Schizosaccharomyces pombe: one gene and its partners. The gene in region 2 interacts genetically with the main gene of each other region. Each region holds a gene or a part of one and is shown on either strand. Other genes may lie near its edges.

What was found.
Region 1: mutations in trm82 (region 2) and ria1 together harm fitness more than expected from each alone (negative genetic interaction), as found in Schizosaccharomyces pombe (one large-scale study listed by BioGRID).
Region 3: mutations in trm82 (region 2) and dri1 together harm fitness more than expected from each alone (negative genetic interaction), as found in Schizosaccharomyces pombe (one large-scale study listed by BioGRID).
Region 4: mutations in trm82 (region 2) and mca1 together harm fitness more than expected from each alone (negative genetic interaction), as found in Schizosaccharomyces pombe (one large-scale study listed by BioGRID).

What each region holds. Positions count from the first base shown.
Region 1 is NC_003421.2:288,101-294,282, reverse strand, and holds ria1 (GTPase Ria1), read right to left. Parts: upstream 4,404-6,182; 5' UTR 4,372-4,403; coding exon 4,276-4,371; exon of another isoform or gene 4,221-4,275; coding exon 2,068-4,220; exon of another isoform or gene 2,023-2,067; coding exon 1,269-2,022; 3' UTR 1,053-1,268; downstream 1-1,052. Other genes in the region: kpa1 (DinB-like DNA repair polymerase kappa), read right to left, coding at 1-307, 347-839; spb70 (DNA polymerase alpha B-subunit), read right to left, coding at 4,797-4,967, 5,007-5,315, 5,358-6,182. UniProt on the Schizosaccharomyces pombe protein: GTPase involved in the biogenesis of the 60S ribosomal subunit and translational activation of ribosomes.
Region 2 is NC_003421.2:1,976,540-1,981,687, forward strand, and holds trm82 (tRNA (guanine-N7-)-methyltransferase subunit Trm82), read left to right. Parts: upstream 1-1,981; 5' UTR 1,982-2,355; coding exon 2,356-3,035; intron 3,036-3,108; coding exon 3,109-3,694; 3' UTR 3,695-3,826; downstream 3,827-5,148. Other genes in the region: rRNA processing protein Utp23, read right to left, coding at 684-1,288, 1,473-1,562, 1,675-1,762; rpp0 (60S ribosomal protein uL10), read right to left, coding at 4,090-4,242, 4,567-5,148.
Region 3 is NC_003424.3:2,008,578-2,014,094, reverse strand, and holds dri1 (RNA-binding protein involved in heterochromatin assembly Dri1), read left to right. Parts: upstream 1-2,389; 5' UTR 2,390-2,399; coding exon 2,400-4,190; 3' UTR 4,191-4,750; downstream 4,751-5,517. Other genes in the region: rRNA processing protein Ebp2, read right to left, coding at 162-1,163; rdl1 (RAD51D-like protein 1), read left to right, coding at 5,254-5,517. UniProt on the Schizosaccharomyces pombe protein: Mediates heterochromatin assembly by promoting RNAi-mediated heterochromatin silencing and histone deacetylation. Binds pericetromeric transcripts and recruits the RNA-induced transcriptional silencing (RITS) complex to heterochromatin.
Region 4 is NC_003424.3:2,983,574-2,990,532, forward strand, and holds mca1 (transcription factor), read right to left. Parts: upstream 5,281-6,959; 5' UTR 4,857-5,280; coding exon 2,763-4,856; 3' UTR 2,437-2,762; coding exon of another isoform or gene 1,213-2,436; 3' UTR 1,160-1,212; downstream 1-1,159. Other genes in the region: SPOM_SPAPB1A11.03 (L-lactate dehydrogenase (cytochrome)), read left to right, coding at 1,213-2,436; U2 snRNP-associated RNA-binding protein Sap49, read left to right, coding at 5,823-5,934, 5,992-6,887.

The DNA of each region.
Region 1 (6,182 bases), 1.7 Mb from region 2:
ACTGTAACTCCTGTTTCTTCATGCACTTGTTTCCTGATTTTCTCAACCACCATCGTTATGTTTTCTACAGTAAATGCAAGCTCTTGGAGACGTAAATGTGAAGTCAAGTTCATATAAAATTCATCAATGCTTGCAGGACACAAATTCGAATCATACTGAGCAAGCACATTCTGAATTTCTTTAGATTTTATTGCATATTCAGAAAGATTTAACGGAATTACAACTAGATCAGGACAAATCTTTCTAGCAATAAATTCTGGCATCGCTGATCGAACTCCAAACTTTCTGGCCACATAATTAGCAGTACCTTATTCAGCATTAGTTTCAGTCAGATTCGAATACTTACACAAAACACTCTTCCCGACTGCCATTGGTAAAGACTTAAGTTTTGGATTCTTAAGTTCCTCTATTGATGCATAAAACGCATCACAATCAACATGAACAATTATTTGGGTCAAATCTCGTTTAGCCCTAAAATCCTCAACAGTAGTATCCACACTTTCTTGTCTAATGGTCCACTCTCTTTGAAACGCTTTATCAAACCTTAATTTTGATTGGTATTTTTCTACCTCAACTTGAACCTTTTCTATTCTTAAACGAAGTTCTCGGTCTCGTTTTTGTTCGGCTTCAAAAAACTTACTTCCTTTGGAAGCTTCGTAAATTATCTCGTTAATCTTTTTTTGATTAACATTTTCCTGTCCTGACTTGAGAACAGAAGGGCCTGCCAATCGTCGTTTTAAAGTAGCTTCTTCATCTGAACTACTGCTACCATCATCTTCAATGGTAAGTAATCCATTCTCCTTTATTGTTTCTCCTATAAAATCTTTTGCATTTTCCATCCGTCAAAAAACATTAAGGCGAATAGTTTTCAAAATACTAGAATTTGAATTAGTACAAAGATGTGTTTGTGTTTTGGCGCGTCGCGTCTGTAATCTATCACCTTCTAGCGATTACGCAGTAGAGTATATCATTATTTGTATTATGCATATCCCACAACATCGGTATTTTTTGGAAATTTGAATTTGTATTAACAATTTAAAACATAACAAAAAGAAGCCTAAAGAATCTTGCATGTGCGTTTTACACTATTCATCTTATAGACTTCTAATCTTAGTCCCATAGTTCATGAAACACTTAACTCAAAATCACAGCTACCTCAACAATGTAACAAAAAAAAAAAAAAAAACATTACCTCCATCTAACCAGGTCATTGTCATCAAATTACAATCTTTTCGTTTTCCTAAAGAAATTGGAATCAAGTACTATCTTTAATGCTTCAGTGTCCTCTGCTTCTCTGCCTTTTCAACAATCTTTTGCTCTACCAATAAGCCTTTCCTTTTTCGAACGTTCAGCATATAGCGCTTAGCAATATTTTCGCGATCGGCTAACTCGCCTAAATCTTCCAATTCCTCCTCAGTAGTTGGAACCCAAAAGGGATTCTCGTCTAGCATCTCAAAACCATGGAAGATTAATTGAGGATAGGCAGCACCAGATGTCCTTTTCAAAATTTCTACAGCGAATCCAAAGGATTCAACAACTGGAATCAAGGCTTTTACAATAAAAAATGGAGTCCCTTCCTTCATTTCTTCATCAATTACTCGTCCTCGTCGCTTCGAAACAACACCATATACCCTACCCAAGACTTCAGATGTGGCCTGAACATCGCAAGAATACATGGCTAGCATAAGTCTCGGTGACCAACCTAAAAATCCATGTCTAATAGACTCTTTCACTACCGAAATAACTTGACCGGGGATTTGGGGATTATTGATGGTAAGTAACTTACTATCTTCCGAGTCATCAGATATGTCAAACTGATCGATTGACACACAAATGCCTTGAACGGGTTCAGCACACAATGGTCCCTGGTGCGTTATTAGTTGAAATGCAGTAACTACATATTCAGAAAGGTCTGAGGGTATTAATTTTGTTTCATCGCTTTGTCGTCGAAAATCTCTCATCTTCTTGGTTTTGTCAAAAAGTATATTAGGACCCACTCGTTTGGGGCCAAACGCAATGATACTAGTATTGTTAGTAATCAACCAATAGAACACTAGTATAACCTACCTATCCAAATGATTTTTCAGCTCGCCTAAGTCAGAGTTCTCTTCCTCTAAAAGCTTGGAAAGCCTTTCATAAAACTTCTCAGGAGTCAACACTTCCTCCATACTTTTTGTTAAAGATTCCGAGACAACAACGTTTCTATTTTTCTTTGAAAAATTGCTGCTAACATTTTCAATTGTTTTAGAGTGCTTCAGCAGAAAATCTACGACAGACCCAGAAAGAGGTGTTACTGTAATTCCAATCGTAACTCCGCCAACTGGTAACGTTGCAGTGACAAAGCCAATACTCAGTTCTTTATTTTTTGCTAATAAGTCGGGTGTAGCTATGGTAGTTTCCCGATATGGCACAAGTGGCTGAGATGCTTGTATTTCAATTTTTGCAAACCGTTCCCTAAGGTCTTTTAAACATCTTTCCAAATGAATCTCTCCGGCACACATAATTACATGCTCTCCATTTTCTTCAACGGCTATTTGAACACATGGATCGGCTTGATTAAGCATGTCAAGGCCAGTCACTAACTTGTTCATCTCAAATGGACGAACAGGCTCTAAAGCGACCCGCACAATGGGCTCCATTTGCTGAGTTACGCCCACTAAATTAGGACCATTTGGAGATGAGCATAGTGTTGCTGTTCTCAAAACCGTTCCGGCAAGGCCACCGATTGCGAAAACGTTACCAGCGGGAACTGTCTCTAAATAAACTAGCTCCTGTCCCATCATTAAATATAATGACTCAACCGTTACCTTGGTAATATGTTTTTCAGGATTGACTGGATCATATTTTGGACCATAAACATATACTTCCTGTCCAACTGAAATTGTGCCACTGTATATCCTAGCAAAGCCAATTAAAATGTCCTTATCATCGTCCATGTCAGTTGTGCTACCTTCTAAATTGTCAGAGTTGGTAGAAGAAACGTTTTCCTCAATAGAAATGGTATTTATGCCGCTCTCAATTGATTCAGATAATTTTGAACGTATCAATTTCATCTCCTCAGCACTAAGTTGTTTGCGACGATGATTAGGAAGATCTCTTTCAGAAAAAGCTACCATTTTACTTATGTATACCAAAACAGGCTGTTCCTTACTAGCGTCACAACTTTCCATAGCCAGTGTAATATCTGGATCTATCATTTCGTAATGAGGAGTTGAACTCAAAACTTTCCTAGCTCGATTCGCTTGGGCGTTAATAGGAGAAGGAATTTCCCTAATCGCTGTTAACAAAATTGCAGTTGATAGTGGCAACCACTGTTGAAAAATCGCAAGTAGCAAATTTCTAGGGTCTTTGGATTTGATGTCACGGGGAAGAACTTTAATGTTTAATGCCTTAATGATTTTCTCAATGTTTTCAAGGTTCCTATTGCTCACAGCTGATTCATAAACAGCCCAGAGGTTTTCGAGAACAAATTGTACAAACATTGGTTTTAACCGTCGGCCTTGAAGATGTTTGGGCTGAAGAACTCTTTTAGTTTTAGGGTCTAGATAATAATCACCCCAGAGACATTTTGTAAGTGCTTTTTGTTTTAATCCAAGCTTTTTTTCGTAAAATTCTGAAAATTGGTCCAAACAAAATGCCCAGCCATCGTATGCACTAGCAAACACAACGTTTCCCTGTTCAGGTGCGAAATATATACCTTCATCACTGATGACTTCGTCGTTATCAGCTAATTGCATAAGCTCACCAGTATAAAAGGTGCCAATGACAGCATTTACTTGTTCAACAAGTCGAAGCAAATGATAATGAGCTTCAATAGGAGACAGTTTCAGTTCAGTAATCAAACGATCCATTTTGTTAATGACTAAAATCACCTTTATACGGTCTATCCATGCTTGTCTAAGGACAGTAATTGTTTGACTACAAACACCCTCAACTGCGTCTACTAAAACAAATGCACCATCGCAAAGCCTTGAGGCCGAAGATACTTCAGAACTGAAATCAACATGACCAGGAGAATCGATAAGATTAATCAGGTAATCTTTTTCAACTCTTTTTTCATCATTTTGGCTTATAACTTTAAAAAACAATGAAATGGCGCTAGACTTCATAGTAATACCTCTCGTAATTTCATCTTCGCGAAAATCAAGAAAACGAACAGTACCAGCAAGTTTGCTAGATATGATTCCATTCGAAGCTAGTAAACTGTCTGCAAGGGTTGTCTTTAATTAATCATTAGCAACTATTCAAAAAAGTTTAAAATTGCAAAATTCATACCTTTCCATGATCTACATGAGCAAGTAATGTAAAATTACGAATATTTTCCTGATTTTTTTGTAAGGACACAAGCTTTTCTGGAGGAATAACAGGCATTTGCACTACTTCCCCTATGTATGTTGGAGGTCAACTGTAGTGACTAAGTAGGTTGAGATGTGAAACACCAAGACTAGAGTCCAAATCGAAAAAATGTTGAACATTCAAATACTACAGTATAAAAGGAATACTCATTCAACTATAAAACAACGACTAAAAGTTCGCGAGTAGCGATTTGAGATATATCAGAGATTGTCTTAGACATTTGAGGAAAATGGTTAAATTAACAACATAAACATATGAGTAATTTTGCAAACAAAATTTGAAGAAAACCAAAATAGCGATAGATAGAAAATGAAAGCTGAAAAGTTAATTAATTCTAACGGTCTATGGTAGACATCTACATAAATAATGATAACCAATGATATTTAACGCTGAATTTTTTATATTTTCAATAAATTCCGCAGAAAAAGAGAGTATAATTATCATAGTTTTAAAATTTCTGCCTTGGTTCGAAGCCATACACGATGTGAATAATGATTAGAAGAACCATTATCCCCGAGCTCTAATGGCGCGATAGTTAATTTTGCAAAAGTGCCCAAATTAATCCCTTTGGTCGCTTTACCAGGATTCAATGATACAACGTTTTCAACGTTCTATAACATTAGTTAAAACAAAGTAGAAAATTAACATACCTTTACGAAATAACGTAAATCACTTGGTAAAATTAGTATGTCCGGCATAGTATTTAGGAATTCACCAAGTTTAAGATGTGCGATATCTAAGTTTGAAGGGTTGCACTTTTCAAGAGAACCTCCAGGGAATAAGGGATAAAAATGCCTTTGGTGAAGTACGTGAGAAACCAAACGTGCAAATAAGTTACCATGAGAAGGTAGACGAAATAACTCTTCTCTAGATGTGTGAAGGAGTATATCGTTGGTTGACACACCAAAGACGACATCATTAATGGAAAACATGCAAGGATTCGGGAAGCATTTGAAGTTCTATGGATTGGTCAATAAAAATTATTATACAACTTAACATACAGATGGAAGACCTAAGGCCACCCGATTAAATGCATCCTGTGGCCATGCAGGATGATCTGAAGCAGCATCATTGATGTGAGGAATTAAAATACAAGGACAAGTTAGCTGGCTTAATATGGGTGTGACACGCTCTTTAAACAACTCTTCCAAAGAAGTCGCAGACGTTCCTGTAATGTTTCCGGTACGTATTAGTATATGATTAATATCCAAGAATGGACCACATAGAATAACCAAGTCAACAGGATTTTTATTTACATATGAAATCATTGATTTTAAAGGGGAAAAAGAGAGATCATCACGGAGAGACCAAGGTCCAGATGCAATATATATAGAAATTGGCTGATTATTTGTATTAGCAACAAAGGTAGCGTGCTCCTGTTTAGATGAACTTGGGAACGGCAAAGGAGGTATAGGAAGGATTTCCTTGGCGATAAACATGTTACCGCTAGGATTGGATCCTTTAACTGAAACAATTTGACCAGGAAATATTGAGTAACTTGGTAGATCATCCACCTTCAAACGAACTCGAACACCAGCGCCTAGACGTCTTGAACTTTCAAGTAAAATGCTATTTTGGTTGAGTCTTCCACCTAAATTGGTACTTTCGACAACAATTCGTCCTACAACTACAACGGGTTCTTGAGTAAGTTCGCTAGGATTTGCCAAATCTTCATCACTTATGTTGTATTTTCTGCAAGTTAATGCACTAAAAAGCTCAATGCGATCATCCAGAACTTCAGAAGAATCATAAAGCTTTTGATACATGATCCTGTAATTAAATGCCTTGAGATCAAAATTCGCTACGATAACCAGCTTGGATGGAGC
Region 2 (5,148 bases):
AAATAAGCGCTAGTTAAAGCTCAGAATCTGTATCAATCGCAAGAACGAAAATGACCGCCAAATGCAAATTATTCGAGTTTAACGTTACATAAACGCGCAAATCCACGAACAGTATGATCTTTTCAATACAAAGAATGCAGAGATTTAAGGTCCTGTTGGGTTAATAGAAAACTGTTAGCAAAGTATGTATTTAGGCCAGTAAACTGCGATATTTTTTTTACTGAAATACGTTAGCATTCACAACTGGGCTTACAGTTTCTCCCCTAATATATCAACGATTGAAATCTTTTTAAGATAATCTAACCTTTTATTTAGTCGAATAAAAATTTCAATTTTCTCTTTAAGCTAAATTTGGTTGAAACTGCTTTTTTAGGTCGCTTGGATAATTGCTTCCTTTTCTCTTTCGCTTTAAACGACTTTGAATCTAGATGAAAAATGGTTTACAACTTTACATTTGTGATGATTACATCGTAAATATTTACATTGTGCCTATACCCAATTTTTTTTCTTCGTTTCTTTAGCCACAAGCGTTAGTTGAAAGTATTGTTTACACAGGAAGGGTTGAATCAGAAACATTGTATGTATGATAGCGTTATATTAGTAGACAACACTTGTAGGCAAACCTATCCCGAAAAATTTTATTTTTAAATATATACATATGCTAATTTCCAACAATAAGCAGTCTACTTTCTTTTCCGACGATGTTTTTTTCTTTCACCAACATCACCTATTATGTTTACAGGTAAAGTAGGTTCATCCGTTGTATGGTTTTTTGATGATCTCTTTTTGATGCTTAAAGGGTTAGGCCCTTTAGGACCCTTGCGTTTTTTATTGGCTTTTGGAGCAGAATCCTCTGTTCCCGCTAAATCCGTACTTTCCTTGGTATCTTGATCATCGATAGCCAGTTCATTCGCTGAACGCTTTTTTCCGGATAATAACAACTTTTCCTCTTTTGACATGCCCATCTGAACGGATTCTTTGTTGTGCTTTTCTAATAACGTAGCTCGTGAAGCTGGTTCTAGTATCACAACTGACCTTTTCATATATATAAGTGGAACACCTGGGACCGAACGAAGAGCTTGCCTAAGCTCGGGGTCTTGGGTAGCAACAACATAGCGGTGCTTGTTCCGACCATTAATGTTGACTACACTCTGAATACATTCTGAAGGAGAGAGTGCTTCATCAATATGACCACACCTCCTTCGCTCAAAAGACTTTGCGATACGAATTTCTTGCTTCAATTCATCGGATTTACTGTACAATTGCCGAATACAACATTGAGTAATCACTATAGTCAGTTAGTAAATCCGTTAGTTATAATAATTTACAAGGAGAACATAAGGAAAGAAAATAATAAACCAGACCCGGATGAAAAGATACTATGTTGAATAATTAAACTTTCCGTTCTGTTTCATATTCCGGGGGTTCGCCCTTTTTTCCAGTAAAAGAAAACACTTATAAACAAAACTTACTAGGTTTTATAGCTCCTTGAACAGTCCTAGCTAATGCAGCTTGTATATCAATCTTTTGTTGAGATAAATCTTTTAGGAAATCTGCATCCACTAAAAATCATGTTAGTTTAATAACATCACCAAAAAGAAAATGCTTATTGTTTGCAAATTAGAACTTGGGTAAGGATGCATCTTTACAAGCATCATTTTCTGTACCACATACCGAGTACTTGATATGGTTCACGAAATCCAAATAAAAGCTGATACGTATGCATCAGCTTTCTGTAATTCTTTGCCCTTTTTTGCCTCATATTTACGCCCTTTTCTGTGCGTCACACAGCCTAAGACTTAATATGCTTTAGATCACTTGTTTTTTTAAGAATTTTTTTTTTCGCTCAAAAACGAAAAGTCTTTTGTTACTATTAGAAATATTAAAAAAATAAATTCAATCGTATTAAAAGAAGTATCCAGGAACCCTAATATTGCTGAAATCCTCTTATTAGGAAATTTCCAACTAGTTTGTACTTTCCAAGTTCACCCACGTACTAAAATTTTGGGCGCTTTAACTATTTAACTTAAGTGAGATACTTGGCTTCGAACTGAGTGTATACTTCTTTTATTTCTCTATTTAGATAAATTTGTAAGGAAACGGTATTAAGCAGAAAGAGGATTCAGTCTATTATTTACCCTTATCATACTTTTTCTTCATTTCTACTGCGTAAATAATTTTAAAGCTTTGCTTTTTATTATTTGAAAGATTTGTCATTATTACTTTCTTTCTTCTAAAGCTTCTTTTTCTTCTTTTTATAAAATTGTAAATATATTCGGATCCAAAAATTAGAGGTTTATTTCTGAAGTGTTTGTTTTGTTGCTTCTATTTTCTTAAGAATCAATCAATAAAAACATGAGTGAACAGCGAGTTTTTAAGCACCCTTGTCAATTTTTAACATGGAATTCTAAACACAATTACATCGTGTGCTGTTCAGGTCCATATCTATTGGGGTTCTCATGCTCTACAGGGGAAAAAATTTTTGAACATTGTTATAGAGACAATATAAATGAAAAACATAGAGAGGCAGCTGCCTATGGAGAAGCGATTCGTCAAGTCGCATTTTCTAAAGACTATTCTCGTATGGCAACAGTTAGTGAAGACAAATGTTTGCGCCTTTGGGATAGCACTCAGCCTGATAAAATTGAACTTCTTTATCAAAAAAACATACCAAAGCGATGTGCTGACTTGTGCTTTGCGGGCTCAAACGAAATTGTTTTTGGTGATAAGTTTGGTGATGTCTATTGTGTAGACGAAAATTGGTTTACTACTTCTGAAGTTACCGAAGAAAAAAAGTCAAATGTGGTTGAAGGAAAACAAGAACCTGTTAATAATGACACTTTAAAGGATTCGAAATTGCAAAAACTCGAACCCATTATGGGGCATGTTTCGATCTTAACTCAATTAATAGTTGCTCAAAATCCACAAAATTCTAAAGAAGAAATAATCATTACTTCAGATAAAGACGAGCATATTCGTATTTCCCGATTTCCCAATGCATTTGTCATTGAAGGGTTTTGCTTAGGTCATGAAGAGTAAGTTTTCATTTGGTTTTAGTTGATCAATTTTTTTTTTTTTTTTTTAAATAACACTAACGCCTTTTCCTAGTTTTGTATCTAGGATGTCCTTATATGACAATCGTACTCTAATATCTGGCGGTGGAGATAATCACGTTTTCGTATGGGATTTAGAGAATTTCAAATGTTTGGATGCATTCGATCTACGATCTGCCTTTTCCACTTATCTCTCATTAAATCAACCAATGGTGGTTTCAGTTATTCTTCCTATTTTTAAGCGCCAGCTTGTTGCTTTTGCGTGTGAAGGAATGGCGGGTCTTATCTTCGCGAAGGTGACACCTGAAAAGAGACTGTTGTTTCATTCTGCTTTGAAGCTGTCAGGGCCTGTTCTTGACGCTGTTTTGCTTGACACGGATACTGATCAAATTCTCATTTCTTTGGACTCTAGTTTTACATTTGGTGCATGTTTTGAATGCGTGAAATTTGATGAAGGGAATGCGGCTGTTCTTACGAAACCCGATGTAATAAAGCGTATAGAATCTGATGGTTTAATATCAACCGAAAAGCCGTTCTGCCCGCTCGCTCAAATTCACACATTACGCAAGAACCACTCTAAATTCATTCGCAGTGTTGAAACCGGTACATCTTCGCCATCCGTTGAATCTAAAGATAATTAAAGCTCATTTTAGGGAGACCGGCTCAAAAAAAATAATTGGGAAAAGTGGGAGCATCAGTAAATATGGAAAATAGATATGAATAAAAATGATTGTGACATTAAAGTATAATAGGGAGAGCATTTAATTTCTTTGGAGAAACCCAGAATTTTGAAGTATAAATACAGTCAGCGATTAATAATTATGCGAATAAACGCAACTTGTATCTACTGCATAAGTGCAACTGCTATTCAGTTGTGCAACGTCAGCAATTTGAAGAAGTAAAATTAATCGTTTATTCAATTCCTTCCATTTACATGCTACGACAATACTTTACATAATACTTGCAACGGCAAATTGTTTTTAGAAGGCCTAAAGAACACGAGATACATCCATTAGTGCTATCTAACAAAAAAAGCTTAGTCGAAGAGACCGAAACCCATGTCCTCATCGGATTCCTCTTCCTCTTCAGCAGCAGCCTCGGCAGCGGGTGCCTCAGCTTCACCACCAGCAGCAGCAGCAGGAGCAGCGGCGACTACGAAAGCAGAGGGATCAGCAAGGAAAGCCTTAGTCTAAAATAAAGTTAGTGAACTGAGTACAAAAATAATTTAATGATTCAAAGAGTTTAATTGTATACAAGCGTTCAGCAAAAAATTAGAGTGTTTAAACTTTGCGCTCATGAAAATTTAGCGAGTTAAAATAATCCTCATCAAAACGCATTGCAAAACAATTGTTTCATATATAATGCTCCTTCAACGAAATCTGCCGATGGAGAAGCATCGAAAAGATTAAGGAGGTTCAAAAATATATATTTTTTCATTGAACCTCAAAGAAAAGGCATTATTTATAACAAAAGGTTTAAAACTCCTTGAAGTATTTGATATTATAGGACATACCTGTTCAGTACCCTCGAAGGTGTACTCAGTGGCCAAAGAGACAGCGACCAAGTTCTTGTAAGCGTTGACAACAGAGTGCATAACGGATAAGATAGTAGGGTAGTTAGCGCCCAAGGAAATGGCAGTGATAATACTGGCAGCAGACAAGAGGTGACCGATAAGATCCTCCTCAGAGACGTCAAGAATCTCAGGACTAAAGACGTTTCCTTGGTCATAGATCGTGAGAACATCCATACCATAGGTGAAGGGAGAGATGTTTAACATGTTAAGCAAAGTAGCCTCGGAAGGACCAACTTTAGCATCCTTGGAGACCAAATGGACATCGGAAGTAATTTCAATGGTACCACGAGTAATCTTGGTGGGGATACCAAGAGCTTGGAAGAAAGAGGTCTTACCGGGTTCCATACCAGTGTTACCGGCAGGGACAAAGACATCCAAGGGAGCAATGGCGTTAGGACGAGCAGGAGCAGCAATAACATTAGCAATAATGGTCTCACGGACTTCCTTCAAATCAGCGTTGGTGAAGACGAAACCAACGTTACCACGAACAACAGGCAAAAGACGCTCAAGCTCAGGCATATC
Region 3 (5,517 bases), on a different chromosome or scaffold from region 2:
AATATTTATAACTGTTCATTTTTTTTGCAAAATTCTTGTTGCTCTTCTTATAATATATCGCCTTCAAACTCGACTGAAGTACGAAACATACCTATTGTAAAGAAGAAATAATGATATTAAACCTAAGATATAGTTATTTATAGACCCCTTATAAACCCCAATTATTTTCTAGCCTTTTCACGTCGCGCCTTACCGGGACGTTTTTTAGATTTAATGTTTTTAAGACCTTTTCTCCCAAATTCGGTAGCAGCAAGACTGTCGAGATCATTGCTTTTGCTGCGATGCTTTGGACCACCAAATCCATACTTTTCATTTTTCTTTTGTCGCTTCGGATTAGGCTGTGGCCGTGATTTCGTACTACGGCTACCTTTTTTAAATGTATCGGCAGAGGCTGATGAAAGAGCAATATCAAAGTCATCTTCAGTGGTAAGATCTCCTCCAGTATGCTTTCGTTTGAGAAGGTTAATTTTTTCGAGGGTTTCCTTTTTTTCCCGTTGACGCTCTTCTTGTTTAGCAAGCTGAACTTGTTTACCAAACTTCTTGAGTTCTCGTTGTTTCTTAGCTTGCTGGGATAGTTTTTTAGCGGTTGCTTCTTTAATCAACTCTTGACGCACTTTCTCCATGTGGTCATCGGACTTTAACATTTCCGCAAAATAGTCATGAGGTCGGGAAATTAGAACATTCGCCTCACGAAGTTTGGCAAAAGCCGCCTTTACAGAGCTCACACCTTGTTTATAAAAGGCCAGTTCACGGGCAAGATCATCCTCAACATTTTCAATTATTATAGGCTCCTTAGTAGTAACAGCTTGGTTTTCAACAAACGAAATATCATCAGGATATTTAATTCGTTCATAGATGTTCTCTAGTGCAACAGTGTTATTTATAGCTAATTTTCTTTTTCTAATCAAATCAGCGTCTTCTTCCAACTCAATTCCTTCAAGATCAGAAAGTTCAACTTCATCTGATCCCTCAGATTCGTTCTCTTGATCAGCTGTATCAGCTGTTTCAATAATAGGAGATTTAATGGTATTGATCATTTCTTTCTCATTTAATGCCTCAACAGAAGTAGAAGATTCATTGCTTTCCTTGTTTTTCTTTTCCTTCATAGCAGCTTTAGCTGCCTTTTTCTGAGCTCTTCTTTGCTTTGATTCTATTCCTGCCATCGTTGTAGTCTAGTGTGTATTCTACACAAAGCTGAATTTGAATATTTTTCAAAGGTTTTGAAAAATTTGCTTTGTGCTACTTTGATTAATACAATCTACGATTAGGCTAACGGTGACAAAGATTTTTACTATTGCAGTTCACATCAAATAATAAAGAGCACATTTAGAATCGCTAAGCTGATTAACGTTGCGTTATATTACTCTTAGTCTTCATTTAGGTTGTACGGAAGGCATTTAATAAATCCTTAACGTAAATTTTAACCCTTTATTTGTCCGTATAAAATTCGTTGTATCAATTTTAAGCTATAACTTGGTCGCATTTTATCGATTGTAGAGTTATTGCTGATAAATTTATGTTTTGCTACATTACACCAACTCTAATTGAAATGACGGTAATTTAGTAAATTATCAGTTGTGTAAGTAAATTACTATCAGCTTTTTTATGTAGCAAGATGTACAAATACTTTTCAATGGATGGCTTTTCAGTATAACTTTTCCCTTGACTTCCTGATACAATTGTCAAAATAAACAACAGTTCTTTGATTGTTTACGTGGTTACAAAAAACCCCGGTATTGTTCATAAGATGTAAGCTACGCAGTTTGGTATCTGATTTAAGGATACGTAGAACTGCGGTGAGTTTTCCTTGTGATCTATTATATTACAATACACAGGTTGTATAAGTAGCAACTGAGTATAGGTATTGTATTAACTGGGTTATAATGTTAACTATCACTAATATAGCTCATAACTGAACTGAGGAACGAGGTTCAGCAGTAGCTCTATTTATAGTATTCAGATAATATTGATCTTAATAGATTATCATTAAGATCAATCTCCATATCGTATTATACATGGTACGATATATAATTAGAACATGTGACATATAGTGATACTCAACGTAGTGTAGTATTGCTGACATAAGAATACCAAATGCTTGATGCGCTAAATTATGGTATAATAATTTATCGTAAAATTTTCATTTTCATTGTGTTTCGAAAGTATTGCTAAATTTTCTGCTTTGCATGCAAAAGAATCCCACAACAATACACGATTCGACAGTAACATCAGTTGTACATATTATTGTTCATAAAAGATTTTTCTCCTTTGAATAATTCCGCTTAGGTGGATTCTAAATCTAGATTTGTTACTTTTGTGACTGTACTTGTGAGTGACAAAGAAAAACACCAACGGGTTTGTAGCTTTGCAATATCATGTCAAAGCTACCAAGTCCAACAATGCCTCTGCCAGAATCGGTAGGCGACTTGGTTGTTTTGCACTTTGAAACAAATCTTGACGATCACGGCATTAGCATTGGCCGGGCGCCATGTGAAATTCATGAAATATGCTGGGTTATATTAGATGGAAAAACTTTGGAAAAACAACACTGTGAATCGTGTAGTATTCGTGAAGATAGTTCTCGTCATGGAATTTGTGGTTCTGCTAGTTCCTTAACTGAAGCTATCTTCACATTGGATAATTCAATCCAAGAACGATTAAACTTCCAAGGAAAACCTTTTACATTTGTTGTTATGAATGGAAGAGAGCTTCGTGTATTATTGCCAAAAGAAGCACGGGATCAGGGAATTACGCTACCTTCCTACATGCGCCATCCTCGCTTGTTTGATTTATCAAGCGAATACGCCAAGTGGCAGATTCGCATGGGTGCAGTACCACCATACACAATAACGCTTTCTCATATTTTTGGTAAATTAGATGTCGACTCTTTACCACCTATTACAGAGTCAAAAGCAATTGAATTATCACCTTCAGATGCTCCTTACATAACCAAAGGTCTTACTCAATGCTGGCGCCTTGCAAATGCTACCACCTTATTGCTTCGTAAAGCAGAGAAAGATTCTCGAGGTCATTCTCTTCCTTCGGTGCTTACACAACCCATTAACTGTCAAGCAGACGCACGAAGCTTTTATGCAGAACGGTCAAAAATTGTACACGTTGCAGGTTTGACCAACGATGTAACACAGCTCGAGTTGGAAAGTTGGTTTACTAATCATGGGGTTCATCCCGTAGCTTTATGGACTTTAAAGACTCCCGAACCTTACAAATCTACGGGTACAGGTTTTGTGCTATTTGCTAGTCATGAAGATGCTGCCGATGCTCTTGCCTTTAATGGATATTGCTTAGGAGATCGGATGCTGGAAATTATTCCCAGTAGTACAAAGGTTTTAGATAAAGCTTCAGACATTCTAATTCCTTTTCCTTCTAGTAAGAATCGCCCACGCCCTGGGGATTGGAATTGCCCAATGTGCGGTTTCAGCAATTTTCAACGTCGAACGTCTTGTTTCCGATGCTCATTTCCTGGTCCTACTCATGTTTCAGCTGCTACTGGTAGCAATACTTTTTCACCTGATTTCCCTTATGGAAATTCATACGGCAACGGCTCCTCTCACTTTATTGCCAACTATGGTGGATCTGTCCATCATTCTAACGAAAATACCATGCAAAGTGATCTTCAGCATCAGAATGGCAATAATGCTGTAAATCATCATCATTCTTCACGCTCATTCGGTGGTAATGTCCCTTTTCGTGCTGGTGATTGGAAATGTGGCTCTGAGGGTTGTGGATATCACAATTTCGCAAAAAATGTTTGCTGCTTACGCTGTGGGGCTAGCCGTGCTACAGCTGCAGTCGTAGCAGATCATGCATCTGGGCCGGTGAATGGTTCGTATAGTCATAATTCATATTCTCACATCCCCCCTGTTATGAGTACAAGTCCTCCTAATCATTCGGTGTATCCTTACTCACAACTTTCTATAAATTCAGTAACGGCTAATCATGGTCAAAATTTTGGGGGACAAAATGGTGGTAATGTATCTAGGTTCGATGATCATGGACGCTTTAAAGAAGTATCACGTCCTTCCGTTACTACTGATCAAGGCGATTGGTTATGTGAGTGTGGATTTACTAATTTTCGTCGCCGCAGTAATTGTCTCCGTTGCAATGCTCCGCATTACTCTAATATGCAGATTCCTGCATCCTTGCCTTCGGATTTCAATGCTTACGTGTAAAGTTGGACAATTATATTTAATGGATAGGTCCCGTAGTACAAAGGATATTTGGTAAACACTATAGCTAAAAATGCAAGTGATTAGTGCGATAAAAATAATCACTTATGTCTTGAAGGAGCAAATTTGATGAAACAATTGTTATTATTTAAAGGCAGCATTTTGAAAAGCAACTCTATTGGAACAAAAATTTAAAAGTTGTATTGGGTTTTCTTATGAAGGTTTTGCATAAACATTGAATTACAGGTGTGGTCAAAATTAGTTCATAATTTTCTTTGGTGGGTTTTTTTCTTCTATTTAGTGCTATTTAATTTTTGACCTTGAAGAAATTTTCGGGGAAAAAACAGCAGTCAATCGTATAGAGCTCTCCCATATTTGGGATTTGGGGATTCATTTGTTTTGGAGTGTCACACTCATTGAACGTTTGAAAAAATGGTTGTTTACCTCTTACAGTTGTCAGTGCTGTTCAAATTTATAGGGTTCTTCGGTAAATAATGTATTGTTAATATTCCTTTTTTTTATTATATAATTTATAAAAATTTTGTAACGATAATGATTAAATCAATCGATACATGAGGTTACTTGTAATACATGGCATTATTAGAGAGAATTAAATTCGCATATGTAGCATTTAAAAACAGTTAGTTGATGCTTTTCTATTTTTTCTTTTTATTCTTAAAGGGTTATTCTCAATATATACAAATCCACACCAGTGTGGCTATATACTGTACTCGAATGTTGACGACCTTTCTGCTTCTTTAATCCATACCCTAATTAAATATAATCCATGTAGATAGTTCAACAAAAAACATGAGATAAGATTCAACACACACTCATGATTAGTTAAATACTTGTTGAACATTCCGGAAATTTTTGACGATTGTACGTATCTTTTCCTTCAACGCATTTGGGTGTTTATCTCTTTTAGAATGCCATTAGCATAACCAGGGGATGATTGCAAAAATCAATTTCATTGATCATCAATATCGTTGGAAAAAACAATTCTATCGAAAGTTTAAAGCATACCAAGCAAATTCTTAAAGCAGCTTATATATTTTCTGACATTATGAATCAGGTTACTCAATTTAGTGGAAATTCTGCAAACTTGATGCTTTACTGGATTCTAAAAAGTTATTACTCTAGGTTTGATAGAATTATGTGGATTGATACTTTAGGTACTTTCAATCCGGCTGCACTCCCTCTTCCATGTCTTGAAAAAACTATGTTGGTTAGATCATTCGATGCTCAGGGATTGAAGGATGCAGTTGATGAGTTGGAAAGCAATCTCAAAAGCTCCGAAGATCAAGCATATGCATTGTGTATAGATTCC
Region 4 (6,959 bases), on a different chromosome or scaffold from region 2:
ATTCTATAAATAGTATAACAATAATAATAGATATTCTTGTTTCTTATCGATTATCCCATATCTGATAGTTGTGATGTACTTTATTTTTTGTTAAATAGTTTTTCACCCTGACGACATATATTATGAATCTCAAAGTACCAGTTTCAGCGGCGTTTTCGGAGCAACACAGGGTCGTAGTTATGTCTGTTGTCTTGTTACATACCAAACATTATTATGTATTATTGACTTGATCACCTAAAGAGTTCATCCTTTGTCATTTAGACGTTGAATTGAGTGTTGAAACGTAAAAGTAATAACTTTTTTTTTCTTATTTAACATTATAATTTTTTACAATATCGGTCGATACGCTTTCCGGACATCAAACCACCCCCTTTAATTCTGGCCTCCTATAGCCTCTTTAGCAAAGAATAGATTGAACGGTTTAGCAACATGTCAAAGTTGCAGAACAAGACGAATCCATTTGCAAAATATTAATTACCAACCTCATTACGATATTATGCTATAAATAATATGCTTAACTTACTCACCATTATATCGTTATAAGATATGTCCTGTTGGAAAAACTAGCTAGAGAAACCCACGGGCACGTGGGCCTTTTAGTAGCAGGTAAATCAATGTCAGTATTACTTTGTATATTGTAGAAATGAACCGATTTCATGCTAGCCGTTTTGCCATCGTAGTATAAGAAAGGATGCTAAATGAACATGGACTTTGTAGCTGAGCGCAATACATCTAAATTCATTAGGAAAATAATTAATGAAAGGTTTCATGAAATCATCTCTGGTTGTTTCAAATTTGGACAAAAACGGGATTTCGCTTTTCCCAATGGGTACGGAAAGCGAATTCGTTTACAAATGTTTTAATATGAAACTTGAGATGTCATATTTACATAATTTCGAAAACCAAAAGTTATAAATGTAGCACTGAATTGCTGTAATAAAAAACAATATAAACTATTACTTTTAAATACCACTTTATCTGTTAAGAAATATTAAAAAAATACAACTTCGCCTTTATACACTCCTCGTCCCAAGTTGAAATTGTCGGTCCGATATTTTCACTCATTCATTGCAATATCAGAAGACTTTTGAACCTTAAAAGTTAAGAAACTCATCATTTTAATTTCTATTACTTTTTTACGACATTTTTGGATTCTTCCCTTTCTCGAAGACATTATCTAAGTAATCAATAAATTCTCAATACGATTTAACTATGTTCCGCAACTACAATTGGTTTGACGCAAAAGAGCCCATTTCATATGAGTCCGAAATTTACGCTAAAGGTCTCAAGTTTCAAAGACCCCAAATCACCGTAGATGGCAGACACTGGGAGCAACTGGCTGTTGAGCGAATGACCAAGGATGCCGCCGGCTACGTTTACGGATGTGCAGGAAAAAGAGAGACATATGATAAAAATATGGAATCCTTTAAGAAATGGTCCATCATTCCTAACCGTCTCATCAAGTCTGGTTTCCCCGACTTGTCTACCACTGTCTTTGGCCAAAAATATCCTTTTCCTATTGCCTTGGCTCCTGTAGGAGTACAAAAAATTTTCAATCCAGAGGGTGAAAGTGGATCGTGTGCCGCTGCAACTAGAGAGCATATACCCTATATTATCAGTACTGCGTCTGCAACCAGCTTTGAAGATATAGAAAAGGCTAGTGGTCCTGGAGAGAGATGGTATCAACTTTATTGGCCAAGCAATGACCATCAAGACATTACCATTAGTTTGCTCAACCGCGCCAAGAAAACGGGCTGCAGAGTTTTGATAGTTACTCTTGACACATTTATTCTTGGATGGCGTCCCTCAGACATGGACAATGGTTACGATCCATTCTTAAATCCTGACAGCATCGGTGTTGAACACGGATTTTCCGACCCCGTTTTCCGTAAGCAGTTTAAGGAGAAGCATGGTGTGGAAGTCGAAGAAAATATGTTAGAGGCAGCTAAAGAGTTTGCTGGAATTGTCTTTCCTGGAATCAGCCATGATTGGGAAGACTTGAAGTTCCTTCGTAAACATTGGGATGGCCCAATTGTTCTCAAAGGTATCATGAATGTTCCTGATGCTAAGAAGGCAGTTGAATATGGCATGCAGGGCATCGTTGTATCAAATCATGGCGGTAGACAACAAGATGGAGGTGTTGCTTCCTTGACGATGCTACCAAAGATCGTAGATGCTGTTGGTGATAAATTAGATGTTCTATTTGACTCTGGTGTTCGTTCAGGTGCTGACATTGCCAAGGCCCTTGCATTAGGAGCTAAGATGGTTTTAATCGGTCGTCCCTATGTTTACGGGTTAGCCCTTGAAGGTTCATCCGGTGTTAGTCATGTCATTCGTTGTCTCTTGGGAGATTTGGAATTAACGCTACATCTATCTGGTATTGTATCTGTGAAACCAAAGGACTTAAACCGTGATGTCTTATATAAGGAGGAATAAATTTATGCATTAGTTAATGATCAGCAAATTTAGTTTAATTCCCGTTATACCATTTAATATTTATTTACGCTATGAGTAATATAAAACTACCCATTAATAAGAATATGAGTAACTTATATTAATAAGCATAAAAAGCAATCAATAAGTGTTATGAGAAACTGACTCAAGTAACCAGTTCCATCAATATCATTAATTTCGAGTTCGTGAATAAAAGGAATTCCAGGGGTGTAGAAAAAGTAAAGCATTATAAGCTTTTTAAATTAGAGTGCTAGTATACAAAAGAATAAAGAAACAAAAACTAAAGAAACTATTGTACATCGTATAATTTACAATCGAATACTTCTTCCATTCATGTCTTCGAACACCGTTTCCTTAAAACCCGCCTTCCTTTCTGATCCAAACATTTCCTCCCACCAGCGACCGTCATCTAAAATCGAAGTGATCAGTGGGTCTACGGGGACTTCCTCATCCAGAATAGTATCAGTTCGTATTTCAGAAACACCCATAGCAGGTGTCGAATTCCCACTTTGAGTATCATCGCCATTATTCAAAAGCTCGTTTGTTCCTCTTGAAAACAACTCTTTTGAAAATGAATTCAGATCAGGATTAGACTTCATCGACTGATCTTCCACTATACCATATTCTAGAATACATAAAGGAAATCCTGGAATTTTGAAATTGTAAAGTGACTGTTCCTCTAAATACTGAAAGCGGTAGAAATTATACAATCTCTGAAGAGTTACCAACATTGCTTGATTAATTTTCCAATATTTGGATCGATCCTGTAAAATCTGATGATCAACGTGTACAAGTCGAGAGGAAGAAATGTAATTTTGGTCGATGTTGACAACACAAAACTTAAGAAGCATATGGATAGTAGCAGCAGTCAATATACTAAACCCCACAAATGGGCTCATTATGTAGTTTAAGGGGTCCTTTGAAAGTTTTGTAATGAAATCAGCAGAAGTAATGACTTGATCTAAAATCATATCCATCCATACAGTAGGAGGCTGTTGTCCGAAGCGTTGTGAAACAGAGGAAAAAAGTTTGGATTTCTGCCTCGACTTCTCAGGAAATAAATCTAAGACGTTTCTCAGAAGATAGGTCAAGGTAGTGTGATATAGCAAATGCATAAAAGTGTAACAGGCACCAGCCGATTCTCCGGGAGAACTATACGCCGAATAGTTAGTGTATGACCAAACTGCTCTTGGAGGTAAATTTTCATGCCAGGCTTTTAAAAGCTCAAAGCTACGATGGAATTGAGACTGATTTAGCCAAGGGGGTGTGATATCTTTCGTGTATCCACCACATAGAGCCCATCTTGAGATCTCACTCCACAAATTTGACAAGCGGATTAGGGAACCCGTCATAAACTCCAGTTGTAAACTTCTTTGGTATGGGGCCATTGAAGTGGTGTCTGACTGAGTGTTTTCCGGTAAAGATCCATCAAATAACTCAGTAAGAATTGGCTGATTAAATAAAAAATTAGGTTCCGGACAAGGTAATTGTATACTAGTCTTTTGAAGAGATAAAGAAAGTGAGCGCAATTTTGAAGGTGCCATGTAACCTGTACTTAGCAAACGTTCGACAAAAAAACAAGCCCAATAAACCCTTCTTTTCTGCTCGGCTTCAGTCCATGAAACAGTGTTGGATCCCATCGTAAGAGGATTATCATTTATTTCGTTACCAAGATCTAAAGAATCGACCATACGGAGAGCCATACCCAGTAAAAGCCAGGCTTTAGCGCCTCTACAAGAGCCCAACTCAATTAAGCAAAGCAAGAGCAGGCAAGTGATATTAGTCAGTGAAATATCCTGGAAACGACAAGGAAGCAGTGAAAAGGCTTGGTTTGCGTAGTAATCAGATGCTGCAGTTGAAGATTTAAATCTATTGACTTCCTCTTGACTGAAACGAGCAGCGTGAGCACATATACAAAGTACGAGGACTGGCGGAGCAGTATCACTTGCAATTTGAGACGTAATTTGGGCCTTATTAAATATCCCAAAAAGTTCGGTATATGAAGTTTTAAGAAATATGTCCCAAAGCTGTAATAACTTTCTACTGGTTGGTAGCCTTAACTGCTTCTGATAGTCACCAAAGCTATTAATAGAGTAAGTAAAATCCATGTTAGGAGATGATGGAGAGAGGATCGTAGGAGAAAAAGGATGAGAGCCCAGATACGGTTGCACTATACCAGTAAGAGGACTCAAGGTTCTGGCAGCGGAAGATGGCTTTTTGCCTCGCATATTCGGTCGATCAGGCCAAATGCATTCAACTTTGTTGTTACTGCAAGCTTGACATGATGGCTTTTCACCAGAACACTTTATTTTTTTCTGCCTACACCGAATGCATGCCTGAGATACTTGACTGATTACTCGCCTTTTTCGAGGCACAGCATCTTTTTCGACAGCAGCAATCATGTCGAAAATAAAATACTAAAATGAAGTAATAAAATATTCTGTGTCCTTTTAAACCGTTTAAAAACCTAGATAATCGAAGAAATCCTGCGTTGAGTAGACAGGTCTTAAAAAAGAAAAGAAAAGAAAAGCAGACGTGCCAATTGTCTGATCGTACGTCTGTTAGAAAAAGCTCACGAGCTTAAATCAGAAAAAATAAATAAGCAATAAACGTAAAGGCTACGAACAGTCCTTTCGAAAAGTTTGCAAGTAGAAAATTAAACATAAACAATAATAGACTTAAGTGAAAGAAAAAAGGGGCATCTAGGACTACACAAGTACGCTTTTTCAAAACACCAACATCACAGAAATATTTTGATTAAAAACACACTCGAAAAGCTATAAAATTCAACTGAAGTCGTGGTATCACCTGAAGGGTGAAGATCATAAGAAGGTTACAAAGACCACATGGGAGTAAAAAGCCCATCTAGGGTAACATAAATAAGCCCTCAGTTGTGTTCAAAACTACAGCAGCAAAAATAAATATACATGGCCAAACATCGTTTTTACAAAAAGTTAATAAATGAACCTATTAAATGTACTAGTGTACGATGGATGTAAGGAAATTAGGGCTGTATAAAGAGATAGGTTGCTATAAAAAATATTTCGTCAGTCTACCATTCACAACTGTACCTTCAACTTGAATATAATTCAATCTCATGAGTAAAATTATAAAATAATAAAAAAAAAACGAAGATTTAGTATTAAAAATCTCCATAAATGTGTTTGGAAAACGCTGGACACTGAAATTTTAACGATGAATACTGTAATTTAGTTTTCTATTGTGCTATTTGGTGCTCGTCATTAAGTCAATAACGAGACTATGCACCAATTTCTTGAATCTTCTACCAGCGTCTTCAAACGTGTCTATCTATTTATTCTAATAAATTTCTATAATAGACACTTTAACTTATTTTTACTTATTTATTAATGAGTATTCGAGAAGACAGGAATCAGGATGCAACTATATATCTTGGCAATCTTGATGAAAAAGTAACGGATTCTATTTTGTTTGAGTTATGCCTGCAGGCAGGTCCAGTTGGTATGTAATTATTCGAGTGTTGGTTGTATTTGTGGCTTTCGATACTAATTCATACAGTAAATATTCATATTCCAAGAGATAGAGTAAGGAATAGTCATAATGGCTTTGGTTTCTGCGAATTCTTACACGAACAAGATGTTGAGTATGCATGTCAAATTCTGAATCAAGTAAAGTTGTTTGGAAAGCCTATAAGGGTCAATAGAGCTAGCCAGGACAGAGGAGTCAATACCTTAATTGGTGCAAATTTATTTGTTGGCAACTTGGATCCTCTTGTTGATGAACGCGTATTGTACGATACATTTTCTGCTTTGGGACAACTTGTCAAGGCACCTCAGGTAGCAAGAGACGAGAATGGAAGGTCGAAAGGTTATGGTTTTGTTAGCTACGATTCTTTTGAAACCGCTGATGCAGCCATTGAGGCCATGAATAATCAGTTTTTAATGAATAAACCAATTACCGTGTCATACGCCTTTAAACGCGAAGGAAAGGGTGAACGTCACGGAGATATTGCGGAAAGAAAGCTAGCAGCAGCCGCTAAAAAGAATAAAGTTGCCGTTACTCCTCAGAGTACTCTGCCTCCAGGATTTTCACCCGCCACTCCTGCTCCAACATCTGCTGCTAATACTCCAGCAACAATTGCTGCTACATCGATACCTCCTGTACCGAATGTTCCTCTAGTGGGAGCAACTACTGCCGTCCCTCCCTTGTCAATACCTAATGTTCTTCCTTTCACTGCTGCACAGCATTTCCCTGGAATGCCTGCTATGCCAATGATGAATGTTCCAATGGGCCCTGGAGGTGCACCACTTGTCCCCCCTCCACCACCAGGAATGGTGATGGCTTCTCCTTCTCCTGCTGCTGCTACCATACCTGGTGCTCCTGTAATGCCAAACATACCATTTTATCAAACAATCAATGCACAAAATGGATACAGTCAACAACAAAGGAGGTAAAATATTTTAAAAAGAAGCAAAATAACTACCATTGTTGCTCAAACGCCGGCATAGTAAAATAGCTGAGATTGA